Drosophila melanogaster: one gene and its partners. The protein of the gene in region 3 interacts with the protein of the main gene of each other region in a biochemical or structural test. Each region holds a gene or a part of one and is shown on either strand. Other genes may lie near its edges. The genes, in order: edl, rl and pnt.

Evidence for each region.
Region 1: the proteins of pnt (region 3) and edl form a complex in vitro, tested with the Drosophila melanogaster proteins (2 studies listed by BioGRID).
Region 2: of the proteins of pnt (region 3) and rl, one has a biochemical effect on the other in vitro, tested with the Drosophila melanogaster proteins (one study listed by BioGRID).

Annotation. Positions count from the first base shown.
Region 1 is NT_033778.4:18,667,504-18,675,475, forward strand, and holds edl (ETS-domain lacking), read right to left. Parts: upstream 6,034-7,972; 5' UTR 5,443-6,033; intron 887-5,442; 5' UTR 860-886; coding exon 326-859; 3' UTR 24-325; downstream 1-23.
Region 2 is NT_033778.4:1,069,951-1,075,037, reverse strand, and holds the start of rl (rolled), read right to left. Parts: upstream 3,064-5,087; 5' UTR 2,993-3,063; exon of another isoform or gene 2,788-2,992; 5' UTR 2,757-2,787; coding exon 2,599-2,756; intron 767-2,598; exon of another isoform or gene 697-766; coding exon of another isoform or gene 674-696; intron 1-673. UniProt on the Drosophila melanogaster protein: Serine/threonine kinase which acts as an essential component of the MAP kinase signal transduction pathway to regulate proliferation, differentiation and effect cell fate decisions in various tissues.
Region 3 is NT_033777.3:23,343,160-23,348,280, forward strand, and holds the start of pnt (pointed), read right to left. Parts: upstream 3,009-5,121; 5' UTR 2,239-3,008; intron 1-2,238. Other genes in the region: PolE1 (DNA polymerase epsilon subunit 1), read left to right, coding at 5,032-5,102.

The DNA of each region.
Region 1 (7,972 bases), on a different chromosome or scaffold from region 3:
TTCAATAAATACACCAGCTTGTTCAGTTATAAAATTTCATTTTATATTTTCATCATATGCGAACTTAGTTAACTAATAGGACAGCATTGTAACTTCAATCTTTTATTCTATTCACTCCAATCACTTTTCTTTCAAAATGAATTGAAAACTTGAAGCAATCTTTGACCATATTGAAATGCAGAATATTATCGCTAATACTTAAATGACGAGCAGAACTAAGGACTAGGCATTATAAGCTAGCATAACTAGAACTTAACTAATCGAATCCTAGAGATATGTACAACCATAGAGAGGACTGGGTATCCGTGAGATATATGGGTAATCCCTATGATAGCAGGGCCATTGCTCGGGCGAGTCGCACCCGGAAGTCGCGGTAGAGCATCTTGCCGCCCACGGGAACTCGGCACAGGTACATATCGAGACTCATCAGGCACAATGCCTTGCCGTTCATGGGGAATTTCTGTGGCAGTTCGGCGGTGACCTCCAATCCCTCGGATACGGCCATATTGATGAGCCATTTCCAGACATCCGCTCGCGTCCAATCGCGCGGATCCAGAGGCAGACCATCGGAGCCCAAGGGATGCAGCAGACTGGTGGTGCCATCATCAGCGCTCATCAGTCGATTGTTATTGTCGTCGGAGGAGTTGGATGTAGATGAGATGGCGGATGATGCACTGATCAGGGTTACTCCGCCGCGGCACTTGTCCAGCATTTGATAGGGATGATGCAGATGGCGTCTGGCGGATGCGTTATTGCCGCCACCATTGCCGCCCCACAAATCTTGGCCACCATTCACCTGGGTGAGGTCCAAAGGTGGCACACGTCCGGCATATTTGGTATAGCTCGATTCCACTTGCATTTCGCTTCCGTTCGCAACGTTTGAGTTCTGAAAGTGGAGTAAGAATTGCTGATTAAGGCTTGTGATTCACGTTTTGCGGGCGAAAGCGGCACATTGGCGGGCAAGTGATGGGGTTAGTACAACGGAAATGCTTTCCACAAGCTGGCAATTGTTTTAATCGTTACAACGGCAAGAAACAACAAAACAAGCGCATACTAATATAAATAATAACACGCATACGCCGATTTGTACACATCACAAGTGTGATGACCCTCGCTCTTTCACGATTGCAGGGTATATTGACAAAAAGATTACGAGCGATTATAATCTTAATGATATACACATAAACATATGATTCCTGATGAAATACAAAACTTCAAAAAATCAGCCAGCTTAACAACAAACAAGTTTGCTAAGCATATTTTGACTTTTGCTATACTTTGCATGAGGGTATCTGTTATTCGCCTATCGGCTGCTGAACTTCCTTTTCGAATTAATATTTCGTTATTAAATCTGACCTTGCTGCCGGAATGGGCGGCGTCAGCGGATCGCGGCGGATGGCGAGCGAAAGGAAGCGCTGAATAATCATTACGAAGCGGTGGCTGTCATATCGATCGGCGGTCACATTTGAATGGGGGGGAAACATAGGGGGCGGGGCCGGCGGTATCGGCATGTGGCTGACATAGAAACGCAGGCCAAGCTGCGATTGCGATTACAAACAAGATGGTCAGAGATCAGGGGGAATCCGGCCCAAGGAGAATAAGGAGGAGGAGGACATGGTGGTGATGAGGTCAAAACAGAGTGGAACGGAAATAATTACCAGCCAAATTGGCAGCTGCGAATGTGGCGAGCAAAACAAAGAGCCACCGAAATGGTGGTATTAAACAAAATAAAAATATATATATATGTGTACATCCGCCGACGGATCATCATAAAAGGTGTCAATGCGAATGTGGGTAAGAATGGCAATGGGAACGGGAAAGAGCCGGCGGAAGAGCGGCGTCGAGATTCCCAGTTCGCCAAAAGGGAACCTTAATAGTTTTCCGGAATGAGCTCCCCGGAGCTTCCGTTCAAGGAAATGCGTAAGGAGACGACGCAGTGGTTTTAATTACACAGCCCATTGGCGGCTTCAAAGAAATTCCCACGAAACTGTGACTCAAGCTGGCAAAAGGAAATAGGGTATATCTTTATCGCCATTTCTGATACATATGTACGTGTTTTCAAAATTATTTACTCTTGATTCTTCTGGGAATACATATTTATTTATCTACTTATTTACAAACAAACATTCAGAGCAATAAACCATAGGAATGCATCACAGCAGTAGGTATATATTGTAGGTAATGCATCCATCGAATCTTAAGTTACGATTAATGTGTAGAAGTGAAAGCAGATATTACAGACCACGGCAATCAAAACGAAATGGTGAATCACAGCGGTTGCCATAAACAATTTGAAACATTTAGTAGAGCGACACTCCAGACACCATTAGTTGGAAATAACAAAGCCCTCGAAGTAGAACCCCCTGGTGGAGAATGACCCATTAAGAATCCCTAAGTCTGGTCGATCTTCGGGTGGTCCCCCAGCGGGCGGAATTCAATTATTTCACATTATTTCAAATTCAATTTAAAGTGGAATAAACTAAGCCCACCCATGAAGCATAGGCTCTAAAATAACTTATCCATTATTATACGATCCTAACTAAATGATATATTAACTCAAATTAGCATGCAATCTTCTTGACATTTGGTTCAAACTGCATTCACAAACTGCATTCACTTCCGCCCACGTTAGAAGCCAATAAAGGCCGAAGTTTCTCACTCCCACGCGCGCGAAAAGCGTGTGAAAAGCGGAAAAATGGAAAACCAGAGCGGATTAGTCAGCAATTGCCGAAGGGAGCTGTCTGCGAGGCTTCCGTTGACTCGAATGCACCTCCACCCACCCAAATTGAGTTTCGAAGTGATTGATTCGTGTTGTCGGGGAGGGGAGCCAACTATAGTATACCCTGTATCCTATATGTACATATAGCATATGGCATTGACATTCGAGTTGATCGGTAGCTCGTGCTCAGCACGCGTTGTTTTTCACGCTTCGCTTTGTTTTCGGTGGATGGATGAATGGATGGAAATGGAAAAAGGAAAAGGAAAAGGAAAGGGAAATGGTTTTCAGTTACTATTCGGTTGACAAAAGTCAATGGCAGGAAGTTGAGTCGTCGGTGCAACGTTCGCATATCCGCTGCGCACAGGATGCACACCCCCATGTCCCTTTTTCAAGGAAATGCCCGCCAATACACTCGCACAAATAAATGAGGAAATGTGCGCCAGTTTTAATTGCATACACGAAAATATATTGAGTCTGTCTTCTCATGCTACTTAGTAGCAGCCACTAAACCAACACTCACACATGCAGAACTTTAAGTGTCCGGAAGACAAGGAAACGTAATACAAAAAAAAAAAAAAAATCGTAATTTGAAGTTCGTAAAAATGACGCGTTTCCTGTCATTTGGCGAGCACTTTAAGTGCGTAATTTGCTATCCGCCAAATATATGTGATTCTCGCTGTTTCGAGCGTGTATCTGTATCTGTGTATCTTGTCTGTTTTTGTCGGCGGGTGTTTATGCCCCACAATTTCCTCTTTCTCCAGGCTTGTCTTTTCATCTTTCAAGCGGTTTCCGCTCAACTAAACAGATTCTTCTCCGCGGATCACAATTTGTATGAGTTTTGCAGGGCCACAGGCATTAACATTTAATATTTCCAAATATTCAAAAAATTTAAATTGACATATTTTGTAAGAATTTGCGTGTAATCCGCTTGCAGAATAACTAATCTGACTAATGTAAATGAGCCAGTGGCTTATCGGCGATATTTGGATGAAATGACTAAGTAAATAGTGAGATATTTTTATATCATGCTAATAATCAGTCCGTTGTTGTTTTGTTAATTTGCTAAAATCTAAGTCTCATTTTCTTGGCTAGCCTTCAAGGCAACAAACTCGCCCATTCATCGAAGTGCATCAGACGACGACAGATGATAATCTGTGGAATATTGTTAAAAATAAACATTTTTTGCTCGTCTAGCTTGGCGGGCAAGCGAACCGGATTGCATTTGTGCACATGCTGCCACATCTTGTCGTTGTTGTTGTTGTTGTTTTTGTTGTTGTGACGTATGTTTGCTGATACTACAAATCATGTAACGCCATCGAGGCGAAGGCAGCGCAACTGCATCGTCTGCCTGACGTCTGCTATTGCCGTCTCATTCAGTGGCACTGTGACGCTGTCGCGCCGTCTCTGTCTGCCCCCAACAGCCCCATTCATCATTTCGCTGCACACTGAGAGAAATAGTCACAATGCAACAACAAAATTGGCTATTATTCGACCAGTAGAGTTGGAATAAAGTCCCAGTGCTTTTAATCTTTAATATTATTTTTATATTATTTCTTGAGAGATATTTTTTTCGCACACAACCTTTTCGCTCAGTGTGCGGCACTGTGGCCCCCAATGTGTGATGGACGGATGTGTGACGACTTTCGGTCTTGTTGTCGCTGATGCGTTTAAAAATATAAGTACCGTGCGGCCAAATGGCGCCAAATGCATTTCGAATCGCTTTGAGTCTTGTCAAATGTGCAGTAGCGCAAGTAAATTAAAATGAATGTGATAGGAACTAAGAAAGTAGGGGATTCATGTATGTTCCGCGTTCACTGTTCACGCCTCGCACGTGTCATCGCGAAGTGAGCCATTGCAGCTGATCCCCAGCTCCTCGCCGCCCTTGGGTCAGCAGGAAGTGGGTCCCCTGCCCGATGGCCCAGTAAGTGCTTATCAAAGTGAGTGGCATAGTCAGAGGTTTGTCATTTCCACCTCCCCACGAGAAAGAACGACGGCGAGCTGAGTCAGCTGGGAAATTAATTAAGCGGGCGAGGCCAGGTGCAGATTGTTCAGTCCTGCAGCTGCAAAGATTACCCAGAACACGCGGGGCAAACGGTATGCCACTCCTGCTGCAACCCTCGACGCCCATACAACTCCATATCCTTTGCGCATGCGCGCGCATTCAGTGTGAGCAAGAAGAACAGAATGAACAGAGAAACGGGTCCAATAACTGGGAGAAACCACGAAACCATCCAGCCGAATGCATCTTTATCGACTTGGCCACAACAATTCTGTTTGCAGCTGCCGTCTTGGCATTTTAAGTGTCGCTTTGTTAGTGCACAGAACGAAATTGTATGTTATTAAGGGATCAGTCGAGCAGCACAAGGTGGTCTTCCTCTTTTTGGCCCAAAAGATGTATCTTAGCCGTTATGTAGCTTATTTCCCTTGGCAAATGCCGAACCAGTCGAACCTCAAGATATCTTGAAATATGTATCTACGTGAACTTTCAATTTGTTACTACCGCTCGGCTTCATTTTAGCTTAATTATGAAAACACCAGCTTGGAGGTCAATTAGCCAGAGTCACATCAAAACTGACAGACAACTTTTGTCGGTTTTTGGGCTGCAAGACAGCTACATACCAACTATAAAAGCCAAGAGTCAACTTAAACCTTCGGAATGCTTTTGAGTGTTAATGATGGCCATAAAAAAAAAAAATGAAAACAGCATATGTAAACCGACTTACCTTGATCGAAAAAAATGTTAATCCAACAATAGTTTGTGTTGCGAATCGTCGTCGTCGAGGTTGAGTTGTTGGAAAATTTGTTTTTTTGGGTGTATTCGAATTTTTCAGCCTTTATTATTTGTTTGGTTTCGGTTGGGTTATAAATATGTTTAAATGGTATCTGCTTCTGGAAACTGCACTTTGCTTGGCTCTCGCTCTCCCAATGGGATTGTATCTCTCGGATACGTTTCGTTTCACAACTTTTGCAGCATATAACGTATTTTTCACGCTCTGAACTACTTTTCCTATTTCGCTATGGCTCGGGTTTTGAAAGTTTTTCGTTGCTACTGCAATTGGCTTCGTTTTTCACTTAACACGATTTGTAGTTGTGGCTATTGTTTTGGTTTTCTATTTTTTGTTATTTCTTTTATTTTATTTTTTTTTTTTGGGGTGGTAAATCCAGTTTGCCAGTTGCAATCGTCAGGCGTACTGCGAAACGTATCTTTGTATCTGGCGGATGAGTGAGTAATGCGCACTGCAAATCTATATGAAGCTCAGAAATGTATCTGTGTCTGCGTTCTGCTCGCGCGCGCTCCACGTTCTCAACTGATTGCGATCGTGCTCGTGCAGCGGTTTTTGTTGACTGCGCTCTCTTCGAATTCGAGTTCGAATTTCGGCCCGGCTTCTCAGCTCTGCAGTTTCTCTCGACAACAGCTGTGGACATATTTGTAGATCGCGTACAGAAAGAAATTAGTATTAAAAGGACAATTAAAAGTTGGAAAAATTAAAAAAAAAAAATATTTTTACTTATTGCGTTAACTTTAATTTTTGTTCTTATTAACAAATGTTTAAGAATTTAGTTTTTGATATATGTCTATATATAAATATTTACCTAATTTATATAAATAAATCATATCAAAGTATAGAATTATATAGTTTATTACTGACTTAATATCGGTGAATATATTGAAAATTTTTAGTTTTTTGTTTCAGTGTATATGCAGACCCGCATTTCGAACAATCTTTCCTGCTTATTGAGCCAACAGCTAAGGTCAATGAAAAGAGGTTCTTTGGCTTCCAGAATGAAGGAAATACGAATAGTTCCTTGGCCTATAGAAATGTGGGTTAACTTTAGCTGTATGAACTTTTTTGTTCAAGGATTAAGGGATTTGAAAACAGACTTTATGGTATTTGTATTCTTATTTATAGGGGTATTAAGGAAACGAAAGATTCACATACAGCCAGAGAAAGGCAATCCGTCGGGTTAATCCCTGCATTCGAATGTTCTAAATATCTTTTCTGGAAGCTGTCATCGAGTGTCTTTGACACTTCTGTGCGCAGTTGAAAAAAAAGTATTTTAAGGAGTAGTTATTAAAAACATGTTTTGAAATAAAATGTTGAAATTAATATGTCATAAAAGAATATACAAATATCCATAACCTTTATATTTTGTACTTTTCCTATATTATTCCACGTTTTCTATGACTAGACCTTGACACTTAATTTATCACCATATTCATTAACAATTTTCGAAGATTTATCATGCACTTGTGCATTCATTAATTCTGTAAGTAACTAACTCATTAATTTCGTGGAACGTTCCTAATTATTCAGCCAGCATTGATCGTCGAGTAATTACAGGAAATCCTTTTCCTGCCGCGCACTAAAAAGCATTTCAATGTTTTGCGGCTGGCACGCATGCCAAGCGATATCGGGATACCTCTGGAGATCCTTTTTGGGGATTCGAATCGGAATGGTATAGCATATGGTAATACATACATATATATATTTATCTGTACTGTAGGTCAGCCATGTGTGCAGAGCTGTCAAGTGCGTGCTGGAATCCTTTTAACCATCGCGTGAGGCGGGATCATGCCGCTGATCGAGTTACGCCAGTTTTTACTTGGAAATTTTATCAGTAGTTGCAGGACCACGCCCACGGGCACGCGTACGCCCTGAAAAAGGTGCATAGGTGCAGGATCGATCAGCTGCACTCGAATTGCAGCGCAGATGCAGCAGCTACTCTTTGAAGCGGTGTCCTGTTGCGATCTCAAGTGCATCTAATGGCTTGTTTATCAGCAGTTGTCGATCGCCGGGCAAATAAATTGAGTAGGTACCATTTTCCTTAATTGATTGCGGCGTTGTTCTAATCATTTCTAATTGCGATGCGAAGGACGCGCGTAGATAAGGACACACGGAGAAAAATGTATACCCACAAAAAAATAATGTAAAATCAAGCAGAACTTGAAAAGTACTTTTGATTTTAAGAATATAATATAGACCATTTTATAATTTTAAGCTAGCAGTATCTTTAATATCAATATAAAAGTGATCAAGCGAATGTTTGAATATTTATTCACTAATTTTATAATCCTGCATGGGTTTTTTCCAAGTGCACATACAGTTAATCCCCGGCTCATCCTGTCCACATACGAACCCAAGCCAAAACAGCTGCCTTGCATCCAATTGCAACGTTTTTTCCCTATTGTCTGGCCAGGAATCGGAATTTGAATCTAAGCATTAGGTACGAGTATCTCGAAGGCGATAAGAA
Region 2 (5,087 bases), on a different chromosome or scaffold from region 3:
AATTTTCAACAGGCGAAAGCCTTGGATTGCTATAAGAAAGTGGACAAGAAAAAAAAAGAAGCAGCGGGTTCATTAGAAATACATTATGATTTGAAACGCTTAATGAATATAGTAAATGAATGTATAGTAAACCATGTTATTAATAACGCCACAAGAGAGCGTGAAAAAAGAGAGCATGGAGATCAATACAATTAATGTGTCCAGTCGGTGTTGAGATCAACACAGGGAACCACCACAAACTTTTGTAAACTCATTTAAGTTTAATATTACACTCACATATTTCGCGAAATATTATTTTAAAATAAACATTTATAATAATACAACGTCGTCGCAGAAATGAATTTCGTTAAACAGGACCCTGGGACAATTTTTAGGGCTTAGTAGGAATTATTTACAAAATCACTCATAATTTAAGTGGCATGCAAAGAGTAATAACTTTTGTGCTATGTAGTTAAAGAAATTACAAATAACTCTGGTGTGGAAAACAAAGATAAGAAAGAAAAGAAAGGCAAAAAAAATTGCAAAGAAAACAATTGGTGTGATATTAATCCTGATAAAGAATATATATACTTTATGTGGTCGGAAACGCTTTCTTCTGCCTGTCACATACATTTCAACGAATCTAGTAAAATACGCATGTAAAATAATTAGGAATGATATCGCTATGGAAGACCTAATAACTAAGGCAGACTCCATAGATGTTCTCCAACAGTCCCAAGATGGATTAGGTCCAAGAAATGTTCGTCATTAAGGATTTATGCACATTCTGTTAAAATAAATTAGAACAAATAATAGGATATGGTGGTGAATTCCGATTTTTTATAGCAGAACAGCGACAAATAAGGAATATATTTAAGTATTCCTTTGTACAGCCAAATAGCTATAAACTTAAAAGAAGAACTTTTTTGGACCGATTCAATGCGATCCGATTGAGGTACGTATACTCAAGAATCGAACGGACTAGCGAAATGAATAAGGTTTTGGTGCTGTAATGATCATTTAATTCCTTTGACCTCCTTTTTATTAAACCAAGCACACCCCTGCCTTATTGACAATAGTCGAAATATGATCTGAAAAACTTTAGTTTAAGGTCCAGAAGAACACTAAAATCAGCAACCAATGTTATATCAAAGACACTAGAATAACAAGATGCGTAACGGCCATACATTGGTTTGCAACTATGCAGCCACACATATGGCTCGATATCCAATTAAATAATAAGCTATAGCGTAACAAGCAACGCCAGCAAAATTAAATTTAGCCGCCGGGCTTCGAATTCCTGTCCGCCCTAAATTTCCTCACCAATACCAATACCAATCAACATCTCATAATATCTATCCACAATAAGAAACCCTCTCACCAACCACTTCCCAATTATTTAACTTATATGGATGCCCACTCACATCGGCATATCCGCCAACGAATACGCCGACAAAACAGCTAAAGATGCCCACAGATACGCCCTTGTACACTCCTCAAATTACAACTGTGACGACTTTTCTCAATTTTCCCTGGTATGAGCTCATCCTTCAAGCTACAACACTACATAACACAATAAGAAAACACAAATCCTAATAAAAAGGCTCAGGCTTGGACACACCAACCTTACCAATGCCCACTACATGAACTGACCCCTCCCCAAAATATGCTCTCTTCAGTCAATCAACCCCATTTGCTACCCACCTCAAAACTCCAACCTAATCAAAAAACATAAAACTATAATTTAAAATTAAAAGAAACTAAAAAAAAAAACAAAATGTCCGCTTTTTAAATATTTTATAAGAATATAACAAAATAATTCAACTAAATATTTTTTATTTTTAAATACTGAAAAATGAAATGTTGCCATGCCCACTCTCCGCCCAAAACTGCAACTGCAACTTTTAAAAAATGTGTTGATTTTTTATTTTTGAAAATGTAGGTTCCAAATTTACTTTTAATGAATGAATGAATAATCCCTAATTATGTCCAAAAGCATTAGAAAAAGGTATAAAGGCACCGAGTAAAAGAGTACTTTAACAAGCAAATCCAAGTTTAGCGAGAAATTGTATTGCGTTGAACAACCGATCGACCGGTAAACGAAAGTTTTGTGCGCAGCGTTTAAAAGCAAGCAATATGACTCAGAAGCTATTGACTTTCCTTTATTTATAAAGTCCATCGGCCAATTTAGGCTTTTGCATGAAAACAAACTCGGTTGTGTCGACCCTTAAAGATTGATTTTGTCAAAGAAAAAGCAAAACTAAGCCACGTTTAGAGAAAAAGAAAGAAATCAAAAATTTGAGAAACTATTTCGTTGTTAAGTGTTTCACAGCTTAGTACTGCGTATGATTGATGTGAATAAATTTAATGCATTTTCGAAAAATAACATTGATTCAGCAATACCATGTATGCGAACTTACAGCAAAGGACTTGAACAAAATGTATTACTTGATATAAAATCAAGAGAACACGGTTCTGAGTATTACTGCATTTCGGAAGGAGAACCGCAAGATAAAAAAAAAACTATGAATAATGGACAAAGGAACAACAAGAAAGAGGTGTGCAAACACTGTAGATTAAAAACGGCTTCAAAAATAAAAATAGGTATTAGGTACTTACACAACCATGCCATAAGCTCCTTCACCTATATAGGCGAGTTTAATATACCTAGGACCAACTTCAAATATTTGTCCCCTTATAACTTCAGCATTAGATTGAGGAACTTCCGTAGATCCTGTACCATTAACTACTGATCCGCTCGAATTAAATTCCTCCATGACTAACGTTTCTTCTGGAAAACTTGAAATACTACTAAAGATGTTATGATACAAAATACACCGTATCTGCAAAATTCGCAATGTATGTATGCGTGGATTGTAATAACACTTTTACAACTGAATATGTCCCACTTTATCTTATTTAAGTGAACAGCAATAAGTGCAAAATCTTTATTTACTTTATTATGAATTTAACCAAAAGTCTATAACTTAAGATATGAATATATAAACTCAACTTTTTTTTACTCTTTAGACAAATGCGTAAATATGATTTATCAAAATCGACGGCGTAAAACATTAATAATATGTTAAGATAACGACACTGGTCAATGTTTATCCGATCCAATTATAATCGGATCCCAAAAGGTACATCAGTCTTTTGGCAGCCACAATTTCCACAATTAATATTAAATAATATAATAATTTAAAAATGATCAGTCATTGCGTAAGACATTTTTTTATTTAAAAATTGGTATTAAAGGAGGAAATTGATCATCACATATTAACCTGATGTTGGGTTAAATATATTTTTGGACATTTTTCAATGGGAGCGCAGAAATAAAAACCTTTTGACTTAGTGTTATATTCCTAATTTAAGCTATTATTGCCCATTAAAATAAAACAAGAAAGCAGGCATGTGCCATCTTCTGCTGTGTGACCTAACAGATGTAAATTCAGCGTAAACGGAACTAAAAGTACTGTTCCCACCATTAAGACGTGACTACAAACCAATGTAGAATATACATATTAACACGAAAGCAGAAATTAAATGTTTAATTAAGAGAAAACAAATCCTTTAATTGCTTTTTTATTATATTATAATAAAATTTCTTAACAGCTCACTACTCAGAAGCATATACAAATGTACAGCTAACTAAATGTAGTTTGCCCACTACAGAAAATTCAGCAGTGTTGCAACGGAGGATGATTGATGATCGAACATTCTTTTTAAACAAAATACTATCAGATGTCAAAAACTTTATATTTTTACATTAAAAAATCCGAATGTACTTAAATATATTTGTTACTCTTAAGGTGATATCCGAAGTAAATGCTACGTACGCCAAGTATATAAGTTTACAGAAATCGTGAAAAATATGTCTATGACAGCTATTTATTTTATGAATTAATGAAATACCATGGTTTTAGGTATAAGTGTAGGTTTAATTTTTTTAATTAATGTAGGTTTATTTTATAACATGACCTTTTCCTTATTAACAATTTATTTCATTCTTAGAATACATTTCAGTTTAACTCGCATGACGGAGCGGGTACAAGTGTAGCACCGCAAAGAGCGACTGCAAAGCTAGCACATTGTTTAAAATGCCCAACTCAGTTGATGTCTAGTTTTAGTATATAGTTTAGTTTAGTTTGTGTATGGAGTTTTGGGATTTTGTTTAACAGCCGTCAGACTGCAAAACTTGTGTTTGGTCGGCGCTGCCGCAGTCCAGACGTCAGTCGTTGCCGTTGTTGGCGCAATAAGTTGCGCAGGAACCAGTGATTTTGATATAATTCATTTGTATTATCTATTAAAGAAGAAGTGGGTCCAACGTGAATGGACTTAGAGAGCACAGAAAGAACTTATTAAGACTCATAAATAAATTCAAATATATCTTTACTTTAAAAATTTCAACTTTAATTTCCTTTATCATTTTTCTTTTGTTCAATTTTAATTGTCAGGGAAAACAATGCTTAAGAACTTTGGTTTACCCTTGGACACAATTATTTTCAAAAATGAAGACATTCTTAAATTAAGTAATGGTGAGGTAAAATTATATGGAGGAACACAGTAAGCGTCCAACTTCGGTTGATCATCTGTCCCTGTCGAATTTCTTAACTTAACTTTGTAAATTACAGTTTGTGTTTGTTAGTTTCAAACGCTTTGGAATATAGAGATGCAAACTTTTAAGAAAACTCTAACCCCGGTTCACTAATTTCGTTCTGGAAAAGTGTTTTATGGACAGATGTAAGTTCTTTCGAGAATAACTCGTTAAAAAAAGCTGCAGCTTCACTTAAACTTATTTATTTAGGTATTAAAGGCTTGTCAAAATACTTATGCCAATACAAAAAATAATCATATTACATTAACTTGTCTATATCGTTTGTTAATTTTTATGTTTATATTACTTACACCCAACAAATAAAAAATAATCATTATTATCATATTAAGTCATTTTAAAATTTTACTGCCAACAGTGTGTGTAGTGCCGACTAGTGTGTTCTGTGACTGAGCAGAAATGTTTGGTGGCGATAGCAGCTATGCGAAATTTCAGAGATTTTAACTGATCATGTCTCGCCGATGTTGCTCACGATTTGCTCGATGGTCGTTGA
Region 3 (5,121 bases):
GATTCGCGAATTCCACAGTTTTTTTTTTGAAACCAATCAATCATTCATATGAAAATAAATTCCTCAAATGCAGATAAGTCCAGAGGGAAAATCGAGGAACAAATGCGTAAGTTTGAAAGTGGCACATTTTTCAAAAACCGCCTTCAAATCGCAGCATTTCGAGCACCAAAAATCATTCGGCAGGGTGCCAAAAACGAGTCGCAATCGCTAAAACTATCTGAACAAAAAACCTTATCGCCCCGACACGTAGATAACCGAACCGAAAAAAAAAAATAAAATAAAATAAAATATTATATATACGTATGTATGAGGGAGAGCGAGGGCGACAACAAAAAACCACACGAATCGAATTGAAACGAAAATCGGAGCATATGTTTTCCCTGGAAAAGAGCAAAATTTTTTGGGTTGGCCCATAGTAAGTGGACCAAACGAGTGGAAGATGTCTGGCAGTCCGAGTTTTTGATGTCTGGAGGAGAGTCTGGGCGCAGCAGATGCTTAAAGAACAGATTGTAAACGAATATGATCTTTTGATATGGTGCGCACTCCTCGGCCAGACGACAACGACAGCAACAACTAAAACACCAGCAGCGGCAACAAATAGGGGTGCAATTTTTCGATGTGTACGTAACGGTAGAATACACATTTAGTCGCTGCTCTTTTCTTTCCCAGCGCCTGGCCCTTTTTTCCTCGCGCTGAATGTAAAGAAGGGATCTCCGATCCGCTGATGATCCTCGGGATGCCTGCCTGTGTACACATGTGTTGTTCTATCTGTCGCAGAACAGTCCGAACTGCATGTGTGTGCGGAATATCTATGTGTGCGGAGTATCTGTGTGTGTGGCATATCTGTGCGAGTGTGTCGTCTTGTCTTGTCATGGGATCGATCTTGATCTCGGCCTGTCTGCAGCAGGTTGATACTTTTAGCATCGGTCCGGGCACAGAATCCGAGTTTAACGTGGCATGGGGCAACGAACCAGCCCGTCGAACATCCACTGAACTGTAATTGTCTGTGGGTATTTATGGAAAAGGATCTTGAACTGGTCTTTCATTTCGGACCAGACGCTCGAGGAGGGAAAGGGAGAGGAGCGGTTGGCGGTAGCTGGGCTCAATTATGATCCGACGATCGTCACACATCAAATTATCGATTATGGCAATAATTTCTTATCATTCCCTTGTGTATTTTGCTCGCAAATTGGTTTTTTTTAAATAGCCCAAGGGATATTAAACATGTCTTTAGAGTAGTTCAATGATCGTAACTCCTTAAATTATCGTTTTTTGGCTTTAAGACTGCGATAAGGACGTAAATCAAGTTTTATCATAGAAATAATAACAATTGATCTAAGCAAAATCTTATTGTAAAATTAATCATTTTAATGGTAACATTTTTATAAAATATGATATCGGTTAAGCCTTTAACTATCCTTTGATCTTTTTTGTATTAATAATTACTTTAATTTACATCCCAAATTGTAAGATCCTTTTAAAAACCCTTTCAGGTAACCCAAAGTGCAGAACAGGAAAGCCCCAATTATACATACTTTAAAACCGAAAGGTCAAAAGAGTAGCACTCCGGTATCAGTTTTATTGATACTTAATTGTCTAATGCGATCGCTGTGCTAGATTCTTGACCCTAACCAAAAACCGTTCACACATTCTCGATTACCAAACCCCTTGGATTGATGGCCCGAAACGCGATCGTGGGGCAGGCGAAGCTCATTTGCCGCACCGGAAGCTGTAAAAGGAACAGTAGTAATTTCGAGCGTGTTTCCCACAAGGGTTGTGGAAGTGCCCCACACACACACACTCACGCACACTGGCGGCTAACTAGCTTGGCTATGATGCCGAGTAGAAAACCAATTCAAATTCTGTTGGCCTGGCCAACAACGAGTTTATAGAGGCAGCAATCCTGAATCGAGGCGAGATCGCGAGATCGGCGGATCTACCGAGCGGTAGCCAAACCAGTTTTCTCCTAGATTCATTCAAGAAAACAGGCAACACCAACACAAAAAGGGTTTACATGCACTCAAAAGAAACTCTCTAAATTTCATATTTTTAAGATAAATATGATTTAAAAGTTATATTTCAAAACTATATATCAACAGCAATTAAGAGATATATGGTTTATTATTTGTTTTCAATTGTTTTGTCTTTTAATTTTCGCTGGATTTTTGTTTCGAGTGTAGGGAAAATAACAAAAACTAATACTTGAACTACTGTTTTTCAACACTTCACTTTTCTTACCGGTGCGGGGTAATAAAATAGCGCCCCTTCGTGAACAAGAAGGCGGGGGCTACTGGGCTCTTGATTTTTGGTTTGTGGGTTCTGGATTCTAAAGACCGTCTTTCGGTTGGCTTTTTATTAGGGTATCCAAATTAATTACAGCTTCAAATTAGGCGCACAATCTTGATGGACTCCGCAGCACCGATGACTATCTCTTGCTCGTTCTCTCTCTCTATCACGCTGTATAGATGTGTATGTTTTAACCCTCCGGTGGGATCAGCAGGTTGATTAGGGGGAGAGAGAGAGGGATTACGTGCCGGGCACAAAGACAAACGAAAAACCGAAAGGAACAACTCGAGAAGAAATCGGGGATCGGTTTAGCTCGGCTTATAAGACGCGAAAAGAAACAAACCGAAAAAAGGCCGACGGATCGCTGGCAAACACACACACGCGCGCGCACACTCACACTCAGGCACTCTCACGCGATGTTTGAGGAGATTTTTGTGGTTTTATGATGAATTTCGTATATAGAAATTGGTTTCCTGTGTTTCTGAACCGCGTTTTTTTTTCTGTTGCTGTTTGCCTTCCTTTTTTTGATGTATATTGCGCGCGCAGATCTTTAGATGTTTTGCTATTGCACTCATTCACTTACACACTGGGTTTTTGCTTGGCTTGCAAAGTGTTTTGCATTTGTTATTTATTTGTTATTTGATTCGTATAATTCATTCAAATCGAATTTACCGTAGCGCAAGTGCACGCTTCCCGAAAGAAAGACAAAAACAGACTGACCGACTGGCAACAGGCGGCAGCGACGCCGACGTTGGCGCAGACGCAGCGTTGACGCCAACGCCGACGCACCTTCTCTCTCCGTTTCTCTCTCTCTTTCTCTCCGCTGCTAAGATTAATATTTTTTTGTGTTGCTCTGGCAAGTGATAACAAAAATGGCAAATAATATGAAAATCGAGAGTTATATCAATCTGACTTATAAACATTATTCGCTATTTTACTTGATCGCTGGAATGAAAACGAAAAGGCGTGGGTGATCCTCAATCTCGCTATCTCTTTCGCACTCGCACTAGAGCGTGCATCATGAGCGCAAGAAAAAAATGGAAATCAGAATTACATATTTCGAGCAGCAAAAACAAAGTGTTTGCAGCGACAAAAAAATAGCAACAATTTATAAAAAAAATCTGCTTGCTCAGAACTCAGTGTAAGTGCGAATATGCGAGAGAGTGTGTGGGTGCGTGTATGTGTGTGTGTGTGTGTGTGCGGGCGATCGTTTTTGGCAAGCATTTAAACAGTGCCCAAAATCACTAGTATATTTAAAATATTTAGTATGCAAAGGGGGCGGAATAATAAAGACAAATATTTTAAAATTTGGCAGTCTCAGTCTTTCAATTGTGTACACTGATATAAAAATTTATTTATTTTGATTCTGGATTTTATACAAATCTATATTTTTGACAAATAAAGTAAATTGGTCAAAATATCAGTTCCAGCTTATTTAAAAGGAAAATTATACTAGTTTCTTTGTTATAATAATTAATAAAATATTTATTTAATATGAAATAATACCTATATGAAAATTTTGATGTGAGATTAAATTATCAACTTATTATTATCATTATTAAAGTTTGCACACAATGTGGGAAAGCTGCAGCTTGGGAAAATACTTTTGGACACCCCAAAAAAAGTTAAGCGCGATATTTTCCCACCGTGACCATGACAACCACTGTGCGTTCGAAAGGCTCTCTCTCTCTCTCTCTTTCGCGCAAATCAAAAACACAAACAGGTTTATGTGTGCGGAGAGTGTGTGCGACAGAGAGCGGCGATATGGAACTGAAACGACTGCAATGTTTTTATATTCCGGCAACGCATTTCGCATAAATTACAAATTACACAGCATAAGTGAATGCAAGTGCAGGGGCGGCAGTCAAATGGCCAGCTGCACCCAGAAAAAGGGCAATAAGATTCGGGATAACAAAACTTGATGGCGTTCCCGATTTTCCCGGCCAAGGGAGCGTATATGTACACATAAAAAAAAAAAACTTAACCAGCCTTGCATAACGAAACACGTGCAATAAAAATATGGCTGATTGTCAACCTCTGCTGCAACTTAATTGCTGCCGCAGAGGTAAAACTGAAAAACATAAAAGGGGGCGACAAGTGCAGCAAGCGAAAAAAAAGAACTCAAAGAGCGCATGCGCGCCGCTCTCCCACTCTCTCTCCCTCTCTCCACTGCGCTGGAATCTTACAACTCGTGTAGGTGAGCCGGATTTTTATGAATGAATGCGCCTGTGTGCGTGACTGCATGATGCCATTGCAGCGGAGAACTAGTAGAAAAAACTTCACATTTCAGCAGTTGGAAAACACATGGCCAACAGGCCAACTCAATTGGCCAGCAGCTGTCCTTAAATTGTCAGCAAATAGGGCATTTAATGCCCATTACAGGAAAATTATAGCTAAAATGGTCAAGCTGTGATGAAATAAACATAAATATTATATTTTATGATTTCATCAGATTTTAAGCATTATTTTTTTAATTTGTGTTAGGTGGAACTACAAAGCTAAGAATAATTGAGGATTTCTAGGTAAAACTTATATTCTTAAAACCATTTAATAATTTTCTTGTTTTCTTTTATTTGTAGTAACATTTTGAAATTGGCGCCAAACGTGTTACTTTACAGTGCTGTGCAACAGCTAAATGTCAGCATTCTCTGCAACGCGTTAGCACATTTCTGAGACGTTTGCAGATTTTTGGCGGCAACAAGTTATTTACATTTATTTATTTTATTTCTGCTAAACAGCACGGAAATGTCCGACTCCAGCAAAGGCAAAGTGCTGCAAAATACGGGTAAATTCGTCAGCGAGAATCGCACAGAAGGGTGAGTGGTCAAAGTTCGT